2 linked regions of the Schizosaccharomyces pombe genome follow. Changing the gene in region 2 together with the main gene of any one other region gives a genetic interaction. Each region holds a gene or a part of one and is shown on either strand. Other genes may lie near its edges.

Region 1 (6,080 bases), on a different chromosome or scaffold from region 2:
TCTTGATGGAGACGAAAATGATAACGCAGAGGCTGAGACTAAAGAAAAGATGGACGAGTTGCAGGCCCGGTGTGAAAAAGAGCAGCAGTCATTGTTGGCAGAGCTAGATGATTTTTTTTATTGGATTTATGTAAACTTGCTCCCGAAACCTCTTTTTTACTTGCTTTCGCGGCTTTGGTTTGGCTTGTTGGAGACATTTCGAGATATTTTAGTGCCTCCAGTCACAGATTCTACCCTAAGGAGAATTCCGTTGAATAAGCGTGAACTCAAAATGGTCTATTCGTGGTTACAATTGTTTTACGATTTTTTTCGGAATTTTCAAGATATTGCGCCATTTGATTTTTTGAATACCGATGAGTACAAAAGTGTGATGGCTATTAAAGACTATTATTTTGTAAAGTCTAAGGATGTCAAAAGAGTGAGTAGTTAGTTAACTACGGTAATGATGGAGACTTCTATTAATGTTTATTAATTTACTGAACGATACTTTTAATTTAATGAGCACAGTTGCTAATTTATTTTATATATATACAAATATGTATGTCATACGTCTATCATAAAGTCGCGTGTATTAGTTGCTAGGCTGAAATTATTTATTAAGCAGCTAGCTTATAACACTGCATTGTACACAAGAATAATGCTGAAAGCTAAAAATTAAGTTATGCTTACGATGATTACGCATTTTCTACAAAAATGAAACACACCATACAACCATAACAACAGGTTACAACAAAAGTCATAAATACATTTCTATGTAAACAAAAACAGATTTTTTTTAACGTAAAGCATACACATAACCGCACAGCCTTTAGAACGTCCAAACCATAAAAGCAAGTTATAATCATACATAAACATAACAAATGCCTTTAAGTCCCTTAGATAAGACACAAACATTAACCCTTGACTCAATGTCAGAGGCAATAGGAGATTAAAGTCGAATAATTACCAAAGGAACGGGAAAGGATTCCAAAAATTGCCATGAAGTTCAGGTAATGTTGGAATGCGGACATTGTGTACTTCGTCAGATTGCATCATTATATAACACAAATGGGAATACCTATAATAGATATACGTGGGCCATATGTTTTAACTCATTAAAGTCGGTGGTATAACTAGCCTCAACTAGTAGAATTAGTCATTTAGTTGACTTCTTTGTGCTTGCCATGTTCACGATGGGGAATGATTTTTCCGTCAGTCAAAATTTTAGTGACAACATCAACGTCCTTGCTAGTACCAAAGGTATTCTCAAGTTCTTGTTTGGAAGCAGTAATTAATTGACCTTCGTTACCTTTGTTGTTGCTAGTTGTAAAAACTTGAAAAGAGTCGACGATCTCAGTTAAGGGAACAGTCTTGTCCTTGCGCCATCTCATGACATCGGGACCGTTTGAGGCGATGATAATAAAGGTAGTATCCTCAGGTTGGTAACAAACACGGGTTTGGTTGGCCTTAGAGCTAGACATTTTGGAAGTATTGATAAATATATTAATAGACGGTTGGACAATGCAAAAAAATAAAATTTAATAGTCTTGTGAAAAGAGAGAACAAACTATAGAATTATCCAAATACAAACAAACAATTCTTATTTTTGTGTGAAACGATGCTCAACTAGGTTGGGAAAGGAAGTCCTTTTATAGTATTAGATTTGGGTGGAATAAATGCATTTTCCATCAATATGTCTAAACGTAAGTCTCTAACAGCGTCATAACATATTTACATCATTACTATGGGAAGCGAATAATGACATCAGGCGATATGTTTGTTTACCGTGTGTTAAATCCTTACAGTAAAATAATTAACGCACGATAGCACCTTTTGTCCTACACTACTTCATTACTCTCTCTGGTGCCCGACTTTTGTTTAGAGATGGTTTAGTGTGAAGTTAAGAAAAAAATGTTTCCCCTATATATTCAATCTCTTGGAAGATAAATAAAGGAGTAGTTTTTATTCAGTATTACACTTCATTTTTTCCTTTGATACGCTCACAAATCAATCTCTTTACACATGTAGCTTAAGAGGTGTCAATACCTACCTCTTTAATATGATAGTCAGTGTACATACTATTCTCATAACATTATCGCTAAAGAGTATACTGGAAAAACAAAACATCGTTATTTACAATAACACATTAGAAAGCCGGTGCGCAATCAACACTTAGTGACGTTGTAAACAATACGCAATCATCTGTTTAGTGATTTCACTCACGCAATGGCCCACGTCAGTAAGAGTTTGAAAGAGATGGATAATGGAGTACGTGACTGTTTGACTTTTTTCATGATCGAAACTTCTCGGCGATCTTTTGTTTACATTTTGGAAAATATCTTTTATCATTATGAAGAAAGGAAATTGGCTTATTTTGAATTCGGCTTTTTCTTAGTTTAAGGTTATTGTACTTTTAATTGCTGATTTGTTTCTTATGTACTTTATTCGACGACGTTGACACATCTGTTGGCTGATTCCACTATAATGACTTGACGCTACAGGCATTGTAACGATTAAAGTAGGTTAATGTTTGTCAGAGACATCTCATCCTATCTAAACATTTCGTATTTAGTCTGCTCATTTGGTTAACCTTTTACTGTACTTAGTATTTGACCGTTACACATTCGCTTTTCTCACGTGCTTTGGTTTTTGAGATGTTTGCAACGCACGCAACTTCAAATATCTTTATCTTTGACATTCATTATTATTAAGAGTTAATCGATACAATAAATAAAACTTTGAATGATATTATGGAATTCCGACGTGTGGAAATTTCTCCATCTTTGGCAGATACACGTCTACTGCTCTACAGTTGAAGGGAAATCACTTCGAAAAGGGTTTTCTGCCTCAAATCCTGACCGGGTAACCCCACATGCATTAAAGAATTCGTGCTGAAGAGCTGTTTTGGCCTTTACTCGTTTCGATGCTAGATAATTGTTAGCCATTCAATTTTTAATTAATTCCTGCCATGTTGTTTTATACAACTGGAGTTTGGAAATCAAGATACTAGTTTCAGAGTGGATAGCCCCAGGCTTCGTTAAAAAACCTAAAAAGCATCATAAAAGAAGACAATCCATGAATGAAACAATAAAAAAAAGGCCATTTCGGTTCGCGTTTTTTTTTGTCATTTAAGAATTTTCCTCCTAGTCCACTTCCTAGTATTTTGTTTTTGGGATTTGCACGTACGATGTAATTCTAATAACTTGTCCAACAAGTCAATGGCTAAAGCCACTTGATAATCTGAGCTTGTCTCTAAAATTAAATTCTCATCATTCTTCGTAATGCTAGCAATTAGGTCTAGCCAATTATGCTTTTGATCTAGTAGAGTCGGAATGTTATCTGACCAAATTTGTCCTGAGAGAAATACAAGTTAGCACCTCAAAAGTTGTCTCAAAAAGATTTGAAGCATTGGTTAGAAAACGATTTCTCTCTTCGTTTTTTCAACTTTTACGCTCAAGTGTTTAATAACTACTTACCATGTAATAATGCGCAGTTTGACATGCCATTTCTTCCAAAGATATGTGCTAATTCTACGATTGCATCGATATCATCTTCACAGCGGAAAAAAGGATATCGATGTGTTAAAAAACACAACAAAATGACTCCCACTGACCACACATCAATTGAGGATGTTTGATTTTGGCATCGAAACAATACCTCAGGCGCTCGAAATCCTCTTGTTCCGGCTCGGTCAGCACGTTTTGTAGGCCTTGGATCATGTAGCAAGTAACCCTCTGGAGGATCTGCTATCGTTTTCTCAAATGGAAAATAATCGTAATATTTTCCTTCTTGCTTCAGTTTTCTCAATTTATCGACACAGCAATTTTCTGTAGGTGCATCTGCCTCTTGCCATTGAGCTAATCCAAAGTCAAGTATGACTCCCCTTTGGGTGTAAGGATTCCAAGCAAAGTTACCTGGTTTGATATCTCGATGAATTATGCCCTTTGCATCTATATGTGCCAACCCTTTCAAGAGGTCTCTTAAGTACGCACCAATTTCTGGAAGAGAATATTTCATATAGAAGTCCCGGAACTCTGCATGTTGTATAAACGGTAGTACAATTAACACTTGATCTTGATGTCTTACAGCAGTTATCATATTTAGTACACAATCACTGCCTCGTAGTTCATGTAGCATCTCAAGTTCAGTTTGGATTCTTGAGGGAAGAACGGTGGCATAAATTCTTTTCAATGCAACAAAATGGTTTTTTGGTCTCTTGGTTTTGTCATGGGGCATCTGATCTTCTATTTGAGATGATATCCAGTAGGAGTTATCGTAGCTATCGAAATGTCTATCCACCGCTTTAAAGACGCTGCTAAAACTTCCTGCTCCTACTAACTTAACCACATGATAGTCTTCTTCAATGGTAGGGAATGCTTGCACCAATTTAGCAATTTCTGGTCGATCTTCTCGATCTACATCACTGGCGTATACACCTGAATTTCCGAAAGGTAATAGCATGGAAAGCATTTCCTGTTTTAATTTTTATTTTAGTCGCCTTTTGTTTGGTAAAGTGCGGGCTGTTAGATGAGGCACAATTTTCATTAATAGTTTGTTTGTTTGTTTACTTCGCCAAACCCAAATATTTCCCTCTAAGCAAAACTTACTTTTTGTTCCCTAAGCTTTGCTATATCGGCCCAAAGCAAATGAAAATGTAAACAAATGATGCCAATGAAGCACTCCAATTTGTTTATACAAATTTTCAATCCATGATCATCATTAAACGGTAGACAGTGTCAAAGTAAATTACTAGACCAGCTAGTAATTTAAATTACATATATTTCCTTTATAAAAAAATTTACTTTAGCTCTATAACTGGTAACATTTAGAGTCCTATTTAGAACGAAAGCATAATTTATCAAAATTTTTTAGTATGTAAACAATAAACAGCACACCTGTCATAACCAATTTTTGAGATTTCTTCAACACTTGGTTGATTCTTTACTAAATTAATTTAATATTATTATTTTTTCTGTTTATTTCTTGTACATTGTTAAAGGTTTTTGTTTATTGTTTACTGCTTACTACTGCAGTTCGTTTCCAACATAATTATATGCTAGACTGTTATAAATAGCTTTTTCTTTCTATACTTTAAGCCATGCGGATACGGCAAACGAATAACCGAAATTTATTTTATTAGTGTAAAGTTATCTGGGTTCTGATGACAGCATTTTCAACTCATATATTTCCACTCTAAAAAGGATTTACTAATTTTTTTTGTTGAATACGATAACAGTATCATTCGAATATATACAATGATATCGCATTAACGAGTACGAGTTAATTTTACACTTCCGTCCCTGGCTGTTGATGTATCTTCCGCAGACAATTGCCGTATCACTGAGTCTATGCTAAAGACATTGTAAGATTCACGTTAGAGAAGACCGTTTTTTTATTTTTTTTAAGCTACAAAGAAAACTTCGGGTTCACAAAATGAAATTCTTTCTAGGATCTGCTTTATTCTTAATCCTTACTTTTATCAATCTTGTTCGGGCTGAATTTGAGTTCATCACTCCTGCTGAAGGTATGTTTTTTATTTAATTTTTAGTATTGTAAAACTGACTTTTGTTTAAGATTCTCGATGGGCTAGAGGATTTACTTATGCTGTCAAATGGAAACAACCCACTGAACAGTTTGTCGAAATTGCTTTGCAATATGCCGACTCCAATAACACATTGATTACGAGCAGTGGTGTTATTCCTTCCAACCAAACTTACTGGATGGTAAAGATAGATAAGAAATGGCTTATGAAGATGGACAACATTACTGCGCGAGTTGTTGCTGTTCCTCAAAATGGTACCGCCAGCACGGTATATGTGGGTCCACAGGTCCTATTAGCGAACACGTTTTACTGGAAGATGGTAGTGGATGTTTCCCCTGCATTTTCTGTAAACCCGATTGACAAGAAACTTGCAATTGGGTTATCCGTTGGTTTATCCTGTTGCATACTGATCGTTCTATTTCTTCATTTTGCAACTAGGAGAGAAAGAAGGATTTTAAAAAACGAGAAAGAGCTGGAAATGTCTTCATATAGAAAGCATTAGCGTTTCTACTTTTCTGCGCCAAAAAATATACTATCTCATTCATCAGAACTGTTTCTA
Region 2 (8,074 bases):
CCTTTTTGAACTGAGGTTCTTTCATACTGAATGGCTCCATGTTCAATATTGAAGGGCGTACGCTCAACTCTAAAAACTGCTTCGGAGACACTCTATGCGATATCGGTAAAAATTTATGATTTCTTGAGTCGTGAATACCTAAGACGCGAACTCGAATTTTATCACCTTTATGAAATCTTTTAAGTGGTTTATTGGGATCAACAATCTCTCCAAAATTATCAAAAACCTCAGAAACATCAACACGGCCATGCACATTAGCAGCTAAATCAACATTAAGCTGAGAAGCTTTAGCAGATGTAACAACAGCCCAGGTAATTTTTCCTGCAACGTAGTCATACGTCTTTTTAATAGTTTCATCGACTGGATTGTCGATATCGTACTTGCTTTCCATAAATTCCACAGCTTTCTCCTGTTTCTGCGCAAGAGGCTTAAATGACATAAACGCCTTTTCTTGTGAAAGCTCTACGGACAAACACACACAGGTAACGGATTGCTGGGGTTTATAGACTGCTGAAGGGACTGGCACATACTCTTCAGATATATAGGCCTTTGGAACTAATGCTACTAAACCGTCACAAAACTCGACAAAAACGCCAAATGTAGTCGCATTACGCACGAATCCAAAATATTTAATACCTTCTTTAAGATCAGTGATATTGATGGGCATCCGATTTTCCTTGGCAGCTTCAACAAGGCTTTTCTTCAATGACAAGGAAATCAACTTTTTACTGGTGTCTTTACGAAGAACTAAGACCTCAGCAAGCTTGGTAGAAGCTCTTAATTTATTCATGACTTTAGAGCATTTATTTAAATCTCCATCGCAAAGTTGGCCAAGGGTAATCACACCAGTAACCTTGTCTCCTAAATCAACGATCACGGAATCTTCGGTTTTCTGAAGAACAATACCTGAAAGTACGGAACCCGCTTTTATGTTTTCAAATCTTTCAAGTCTTTTAGCATCCCAACTCTGCTCACGACAGCCGACACGCATTTTACGATTCTCTGGATCACAACTGACGATAGTAACAGAAAGTGTTTGCCCAACTTTAAAGTGTTCTCTAGCATCACGAATGTAAGCTTCGCTCATTTCCGAAACGGGAAGAAAAGCACGGACACTGTTGTAAAACTCAACTATAGCTCCATCTTCAAAAATACGAGCAAGAGTTCCAACTGTTTGTGTTCCTGGGGTAGCTTGTTCATAGTCATATATCAATGGCAAATCTGTGTTAAGTAATGATTTTTTGAGAGTTAAGAGGACACGCTTTCGTAGAACATTCGTACTTAAAACACGGCATTTTACGGAAGAGCCAACTTTAAAACGACGTTCAGGAAACTGTAGGGCTATGTCAGCCATATGGGTAGAGGGAACTAAACCATTTATACCTTCCGAAATAGTTACCACGATTCCTTGAGGTATAAGCTTCGCAATGGTACCATCGACAAATTGACCGACTTCGATATCCTCTATTCGCAAAAACTGCTGGTTTAATACAGATTGTTGAAATGACAAGATATATAAATTATCAACATAACTGTAATTAATGATTCGAGCCTCGTGGGTGCTATCAACTTTATAGGGGCCAGAATTGGGACTAATTCCAGCAACCTTTTTATCGGAAAGGCGTGAAATGTGAGCAAATCCGGATATCTCAGGTACACCAACATCGCAAAAAACGCCAAGTGAGGAGGATACATACGTAACCTTAGCAGCATTGACGATAAAACCAATATCTAGTTGATCGGGATGTGGAGTATTGGGAGTTGCGAAGTTGAAGGTAAGCACGTGAGGTAAGAAAGATACTGCAATTTTAGGGGGATCACCGGGAATCACAAAAAGAACGCGAGCAGGAACAGATTTAGCAAGCTGGAATTTATCTTCTAAATCTTCCCCTTTCACGGGAGAAGAATGATAAATATCACTAGTGACATCTACTACACCCATATATTTTGCAATAACTCCGCTTTCCTTGATGTCCGTTACCAAAACATTTATATAGTCACCAGGAAGAATAGCTTGTACAGAAGGCATAACCTCAAGCGCCTTAGTGGATGTCGCAGTGAGAGAAAGATGGAAAATTCGATCTTCTTTTGAAATAACGGAACACAATAAACTTTGGCCTTCAACAAAAGGGAAATCATTTATGTGTTTTTTGGATAAAAAACCAGTATAATTATTAATACCAATATCAAAAACAATACCATGATCTTCAATACTTGAAACCACGGCCTGTATCATCGACCCAGCAACAAAATCCGCAGCCTCAGGAGCAGAACCGTTCGCATCTTGCGGCTTAAGACTTAGCTCGATGTGTCTTTTTCCGGTTTTTGTAGTATTTTCCGAGCCAAGGGCTGTAACAGAAACACGCACCCATTGACCAACTTTGTACAAATCCATCAAATCCGGTATTTGATTAAGACCGTCTTCCTCTTCAGTTGCTGCATTATCTTCTGCATGATTGTCAATACTATCCAGACGATCAGAAAGCTTATCGGAGATATTTGTGATAGGTACATAACCTGTCAAACAGTTTGGTAATGAGACGGCCAAGTCCAACGTATTTATTTGAGCAATTTGACCTAAAATTAAAGAGCCGGGTGTGATATTTTTATATCTTAAGCTTTGAATATGAACCTTCAAATTTTCTTCGTTGTCCAATTCGGATTTGGAAGATTTTTTACTACCCTTTTTCTTAGGACGAGTTTTTTTACTCAATTCAGCGGTACCAGAAGCGGACTCCATAAAGTCCTTCTTAGCCTCTAAAACAGCTTCTTTATACTCTAAAGGAGTCAATGAAGACGCCCCACCTCGAGGGAAATCTTGAGTTGCCTCGTTAGCACTCAAAGAAGAAATTCTCTCATTCCCTTGGGAATCCGAGCCTTCGGAGGCATTGCTCCTCTTTCTTTTATTTCCAGCCATTTACTTCTATGAACTTCTGAAAAGAAAGAACGACTGGAAGAAAGAAGCTTTTTATACAAAGTAGTTGGTAGCGAGTAAATTTATGCTGCTGCTACAAAAGAAATAGTCTAGGAAGGGTAACGCATCATGAGAATTTCTTTTAACGATGAATATTGTACTACGCAATAATATGAGAGTTGAGGAACTTAAAAAAGGTGCACAAACAATATATGCGATTGTACATGGCAAAAAACAGAAAAACTTACAAATTGATCATTTAATTTAATTTTTTTTCTTCTTAATTTTTTTTATCTTAGTTATTCGCACTGCATACACTATTAATTTCATAATGAATAATGCAAATGCCAGAATGCTTGTTGGTACAAGCAAATGAAACGATAAATCTAAATTTACGAAGCTTGGGGATGTTTATTTTTTTTCTTTGATTAATTTTTGTAGCAATGAAACAAAATTAGGAACAGCGCGGTTGTAAGTTTATTACGCCGGACATTTCCATGATACATAGGATGAAAAAATTGGCTATTACAATAGAAATACAATATTTATCACAGGTACAAAAAGAATTTTGCGTAAACCCTTGTTTTTAGCGCTTACCAGTTGAAATGGCATCGATAGTGAATGTCAAAAACCTTCTCCTCAATCTAAATGTTGACCGTCGAAAAGGTTATTTCCGAATTTCCTTTGAAATATTAATTTTTACCTCCATTATTTCTTTTCGTTACTTATAGCATTCAAGGGTTCAAAATTGTCTTGTAAGTTTTTATACCCTCTTCTATTTATTATTGTTCGCAGCAATTTTTTTAAGCTCTCGTTAGTTAGATTAGTGTTTCGTTTACAATTTTAACCCTACCCTACCCGAATGAATGTTTTGTTTACACTTTGGCAGGTTACAATAGCAGTGGACATGAAAATGAAATGAGGAATTGCACTCTGTAATTGTAAGTATATGCTTGAAGCTCATATAGAATATGATAATAAATTCAAAGCATCTTTATAGCTCAAGTATCTTGATTTGAAATCAAGGACCGAGAAATTGTTACATTTTGTTTCTTTCGTTTATTGTTCGATAATTTTTGTTGTAAAAAACGAAATGAGGCTCACTTAATTCTTTCCTGTATTGGGTAAAAAAAATTTTTGTATGAAATTGATAAAATAAATTTATTTCTTCAGTGAAATTGATTCAATGTTCCATAAATTGTATATTGAATGTATTGCTCATAAAATTCACGCAAAAAAATATAAATAAAAAAGAAACAAAGCAAACTGATAAAAATAATAAACGGATGATTCTTCAACATTAACGAAGTCTTTCTCCTGTTTGTTGTCATTTATATTACGGTTAACAGCCATATGTACTGTGTCAACAAATGACATTTTCTCTAAGCAAACAACTTTAAACCACTGTACTTTTGAAAAAAAAGTTAGCAATTAGTATTTTATAGGAAAGGAAAAAAAATTGAAACAATGATGAGCAATTCTCGTAAGGGACAACATGACAATACAATATAAAACAATTTTTTCTAACATGTAGAAATTTCAAAGCTTTTTAGCTCTATCTCTAACAAGGAAAATTCGAATGAAAATGCTTTAAAAGAAAGCACGAATAAACAATTAAACAATGCCAATACTTTAGCAATAACCCATTTGAAGGAACAACTTTCGAGAGAGGTTCAACGAAGAGAAGAGTTGGAAGGATTGCTTGAGCAAAGTCAGAAAGAAATGGAAGATTTATCGGTTTCACTGTTCACTGAAGCAAACGAAATGGTGGCCAAGGCAAGGCAGGATACAGAAGTATTAAAAAGAGAATTGGACTATCTCAGGGCAAAAGAAAAAGGACGTATTGGGAAACTAAGAAGCATCCAAACTGCTGTCCGAACTTCAATCGAAGCCAGAAAATTACTGAGTTATTCTAACGAATCAAATTACCACTGATTACATTAAGTCTTTAATAAATGTGCCGTTTACGATGGATTTGACATAAATATTAAACTTTAAAATGAATGATTTAAATGTTAAGACAAAAAAAAAATAAATCCTCTGCGAAAAGAAAGACATAGAAAAATAACACACATTAAGCAAGTCCAATTGTAGGTAGAATAAAGATAAGCATGCAAGTGGTATAATAAAGCAAGCATGACAAAAGAAAATAAAAAGCTTGATTAGACCTATTAGCATCCAGTAAACGAGCAATTATTTTCTGACTTTTTCTACTCAGTTGAAGAGGATTCCAACTCGCTAGACTTTATTTTTGCTTTTTGTTCAGAAACAGCGCTCCAATTGATGCATTTTTCAGGTCCATACTGCTCTTCGAGCCACTCATTGGTTTTCTTGAAATGGTGGCATTCAAAAAAGCCACGATGTGCAGAGAGAGGGCTAGGATGGACACTTCTAAGTACATAGTGTGCTTTCAAAGGAAGACCTTGAAGTCGCTTAGCTGCTGGAGTTCCCCATGCTAAAATTACAAGACCCTTGCGATTCCGATTCAACGCAACTTGCAGGACAGCAGAAGTGAAAGTTTCCCAACCCTTGCCAGAATGAGAAGCAGCTTGATGGGCTCTTACAGTTAAACTAGCGTTGAGCATTAAAATGCCTTGGTCAGCCCAAGGAACTAAATACCTGCTTCATTAGCAAAAAGCCAAATCTTAGAAAGAAAAAATATAAAGACTAAATAATTTTAACGTACCCTGTTTTCGGAATAACAAAATCAGGATAATCGATCTTGATGGCTTTATATATGTTGACCAAACTTGGTGGACATGGAATTCCTGGACGTACGGAAAAGCAAAGACCATGGGCTTGACCAATGTTATGGTAAGGATCTTGTCCTAAGAGAATGACCTTGGTTTTATGAAGTGGAGTATGATGTGACCATGAGTAGATATCTTCTTTCGGCGGGAATACACGTTGGCTTTGCCATTCCTTCATCAAAAACTCTTTCAGATTCAAAAAATATGGCTTTAAAAATTCATCTTTTAACGCATCAAACCAAGAACTCTCCAAAGTATCAATTTCTAGTCTAAATAGGTTAACAACCTTTTCCAATTTTCTAGCCTACATTGTAAGCAATACTTACTGTAACAGCTTTCTTTGAGCAGGAGTAAGATTTTCTGCCCATTTTTCTTTATTGAACTTTGAGACAGAGTTGTTCTCTTTATTATCAAGTACCTGAGTATCCTTTAAAGCAGGCGATGAGGTGTTTGTCTTAAAAAAATTATCCAAACGTGGCTGCTTTAATTTCCCGTCAAGTTTATTAACGGTATCATCAGCTTTACGCTTATCTGTAGTATTCAGAACAGTCATTTTACCTAACTTATTAGAAAACAGCTCTCTGCTCCATAAACATACTGTCCACCGAATCGTTGCAGAGAACAGGCTTTCATGTATGATAATTAGAAGTGTTCGTACTACACACTTGACACTACCACGATAATGAGACTAAATTGATGTTTATTTCTTATCGGTTATTTATTTGAGAAATATTATTGATCATAAACTGTATTATAAAACGATTGCTTCAAGCCAAAACCTAAGATATGGACGAAGCCAAAGAGACGGTATTTACGAAACCTCAAAATCATTCAAGCACCCTTGAATTCTATGATTTTGTTACAACATTATTGGAACCGTTATCAAGAATTGGAAAGACTAGGAAATCCAAAACATCAAACCTTGACCCTTATGAATTAAAGCGCAAAATCCTCTTGGATTACTTTAATAAATGGCGACAACATGTAGGACCAGATCTTTATCCATTACTTCGACTAAGTAATTTAATATTTGTATTTTATTCCTTATACTAACTAATGGAGTGCTTCCTGATGTACGACTTAAAATTGTTAGACCACTAAATCGCATTACATAAAGTGTCTTAATCGGTGTCTTGAATTTCTAATTGCTAATTTTCTAGTTGGATCGTGAAAGAGGATCATATGGGTTCAAGGAATTTGGGCTTGGAAAACTGTTTATTCGAGTAAGTAATTAAGTTGCAACATCAGTGACTAATTAACAAGGCTATGCATTTGAGTCCTACTTCTGAAGATGCAAAATCTTTGAAAAATTGGAGAGGATCCGAGTCCAAACATACTGGAGATTTTTCTACCATGTTGCAGGGTGTGTTCATCATAGTTTTTGTATTCCAATTGATCCTGATCATATTTTAACTGAAAAAAATTTAGATATTTTACAAAGAAGGGCATACAGGACCTTTCCTGGTGCCTTTACAGTTGGTGATGTCAACGCCCTGCTGGATCAATTAGCAGATGCTTCTTCTGAGTATGTTCTAAATTTTTTACCGTATCTAACCTTAATAAGGGATACCCGAGTTAATATTTTGGAGCAATTTTATAGATCCTTGAGTCCTCTTGAGCTTCGATGGCTAATTCCCATTTTACTGAAAGGTTGGTTGGAAATGATATTTCTTTATTTATGACCTAACTTTTTTATTTCTTTAGTTCGAAAATACGGAACATCGGAAAAATTCATACTTTCTGTGTTCCATCCTGATGCAGCTCGATTATATCGACTGTGTAGCTCCTTAAAGAGAATTTGTTGGGAGCTCTATGATCCTAGTCGGTCTCTTGATGAAACTGAAACAGATGTGGAAGTCTTTAGTTGCTTCCAGCCTCAGCTAGCCAATTTCAAAAAAAAGGATCTCCATCAAACGCTGGAAGCCATGGGAAATAAACCGTTTTGGATTGAAGAAAAGCTAGACGGGGAGCGTATTCAATTACACATGAGTTCAGGAAAATTCCAATTCTATAGTCGAAATGCCAGGTCGTACACTTATGCCTATGGCTCTAGTTATTTCGATGAACAATCTAGGCTGACACAATACATCATTGGAGCATTTGACAAACGTATTTCACAAATTATTCTTGATGGAGAAATGGTTACATGGGATCCAGTGTTGGAAACAGTGATCCCATACGGAAGTTTAAGAAGCATTTTTGAAGATTCTTCCTCTCATTCATCCTACAGCCCTTATTACGTTGTGTTCGATATTTTGTATCTTAATGGGAAGTCTTTGGTAAAGTACTCATTAGAATCAAGAAGACGAATATTAGAGAAAGTAATTGTTCGCGAATCTCATCGTATGAGTATTCTACCTTACAAGGTCGGCAGTACTATTGAAGATATTGAAGCAGAGTTACGGAATGT

What was found. A genetic interaction does not mean that the proteins touch.
Region 1: mutations in ung1 (region 2) and spo4 together harm fitness more than expected from each alone (negative genetic interaction), as found in Schizosaccharomyces pombe (one large-scale study listed by BioGRID).

Annotation. Positions count from the first base shown.
Region 1 is NC_003423.3:3,825,547-3,831,626, reverse strand, and holds spo4 (serine/threonine protein kinase (DDK family) Spo4), read right to left. Parts: upstream 4,450-6,080; coding exon 3,456-4,449; exon of another isoform or gene 3,334-3,455; coding exon 3,166-3,333; exon of another isoform or gene 2,906-3,165; coding exon 2,778-2,905; 3' UTR 2,667-2,777; downstream 1-2,666. Other genes in the region: C2 domain protein Git1, read left to right, coding at 1-430; SBDS family protein Rtc3, read right to left, coding at 1,140-1,460; protein psg1, read left to right, coding at 5,413-5,503, 5,554-6,023. UniProt on the Schizosaccharomyces pombe protein: Required for the initiation of meiosis II and progression through anaphase II.
Region 2 is NC_003421.2:601,180-609,253, reverse strand, and holds ung1 (uracil DNA N-glycosylase Ung1), read right to left. Parts: upstream 6,281-8,074; 5' UTR 6,218-6,280; coding exon 5,991-6,217; intron 5,934-5,990; coding exon 5,601-5,933; intron 5,534-5,600; coding exon 5,125-5,533; 3' UTR 4,850-5,124; downstream 1-4,849. Other genes in the region: U3 snoRNP-associated protein Rrp5, read right to left, coding at 1-2,917; protein Spo13, read left to right, coding at 4,382-4,397, 4,449-4,849; DNA repair ligase Lig4, read left to right, coding at 6,451-6,682, 6,727-6,737, 6,825-6,887, 6,928-7,027, 7,093-7,189, 7,229-7,314, 7,369-8,074. UniProt on the Schizosaccharomyces pombe protein: Excises uracil residues from the DNA which can arise as a result of misincorporation of dUMP residues by DNA polymerase or due to deamination of cytosine.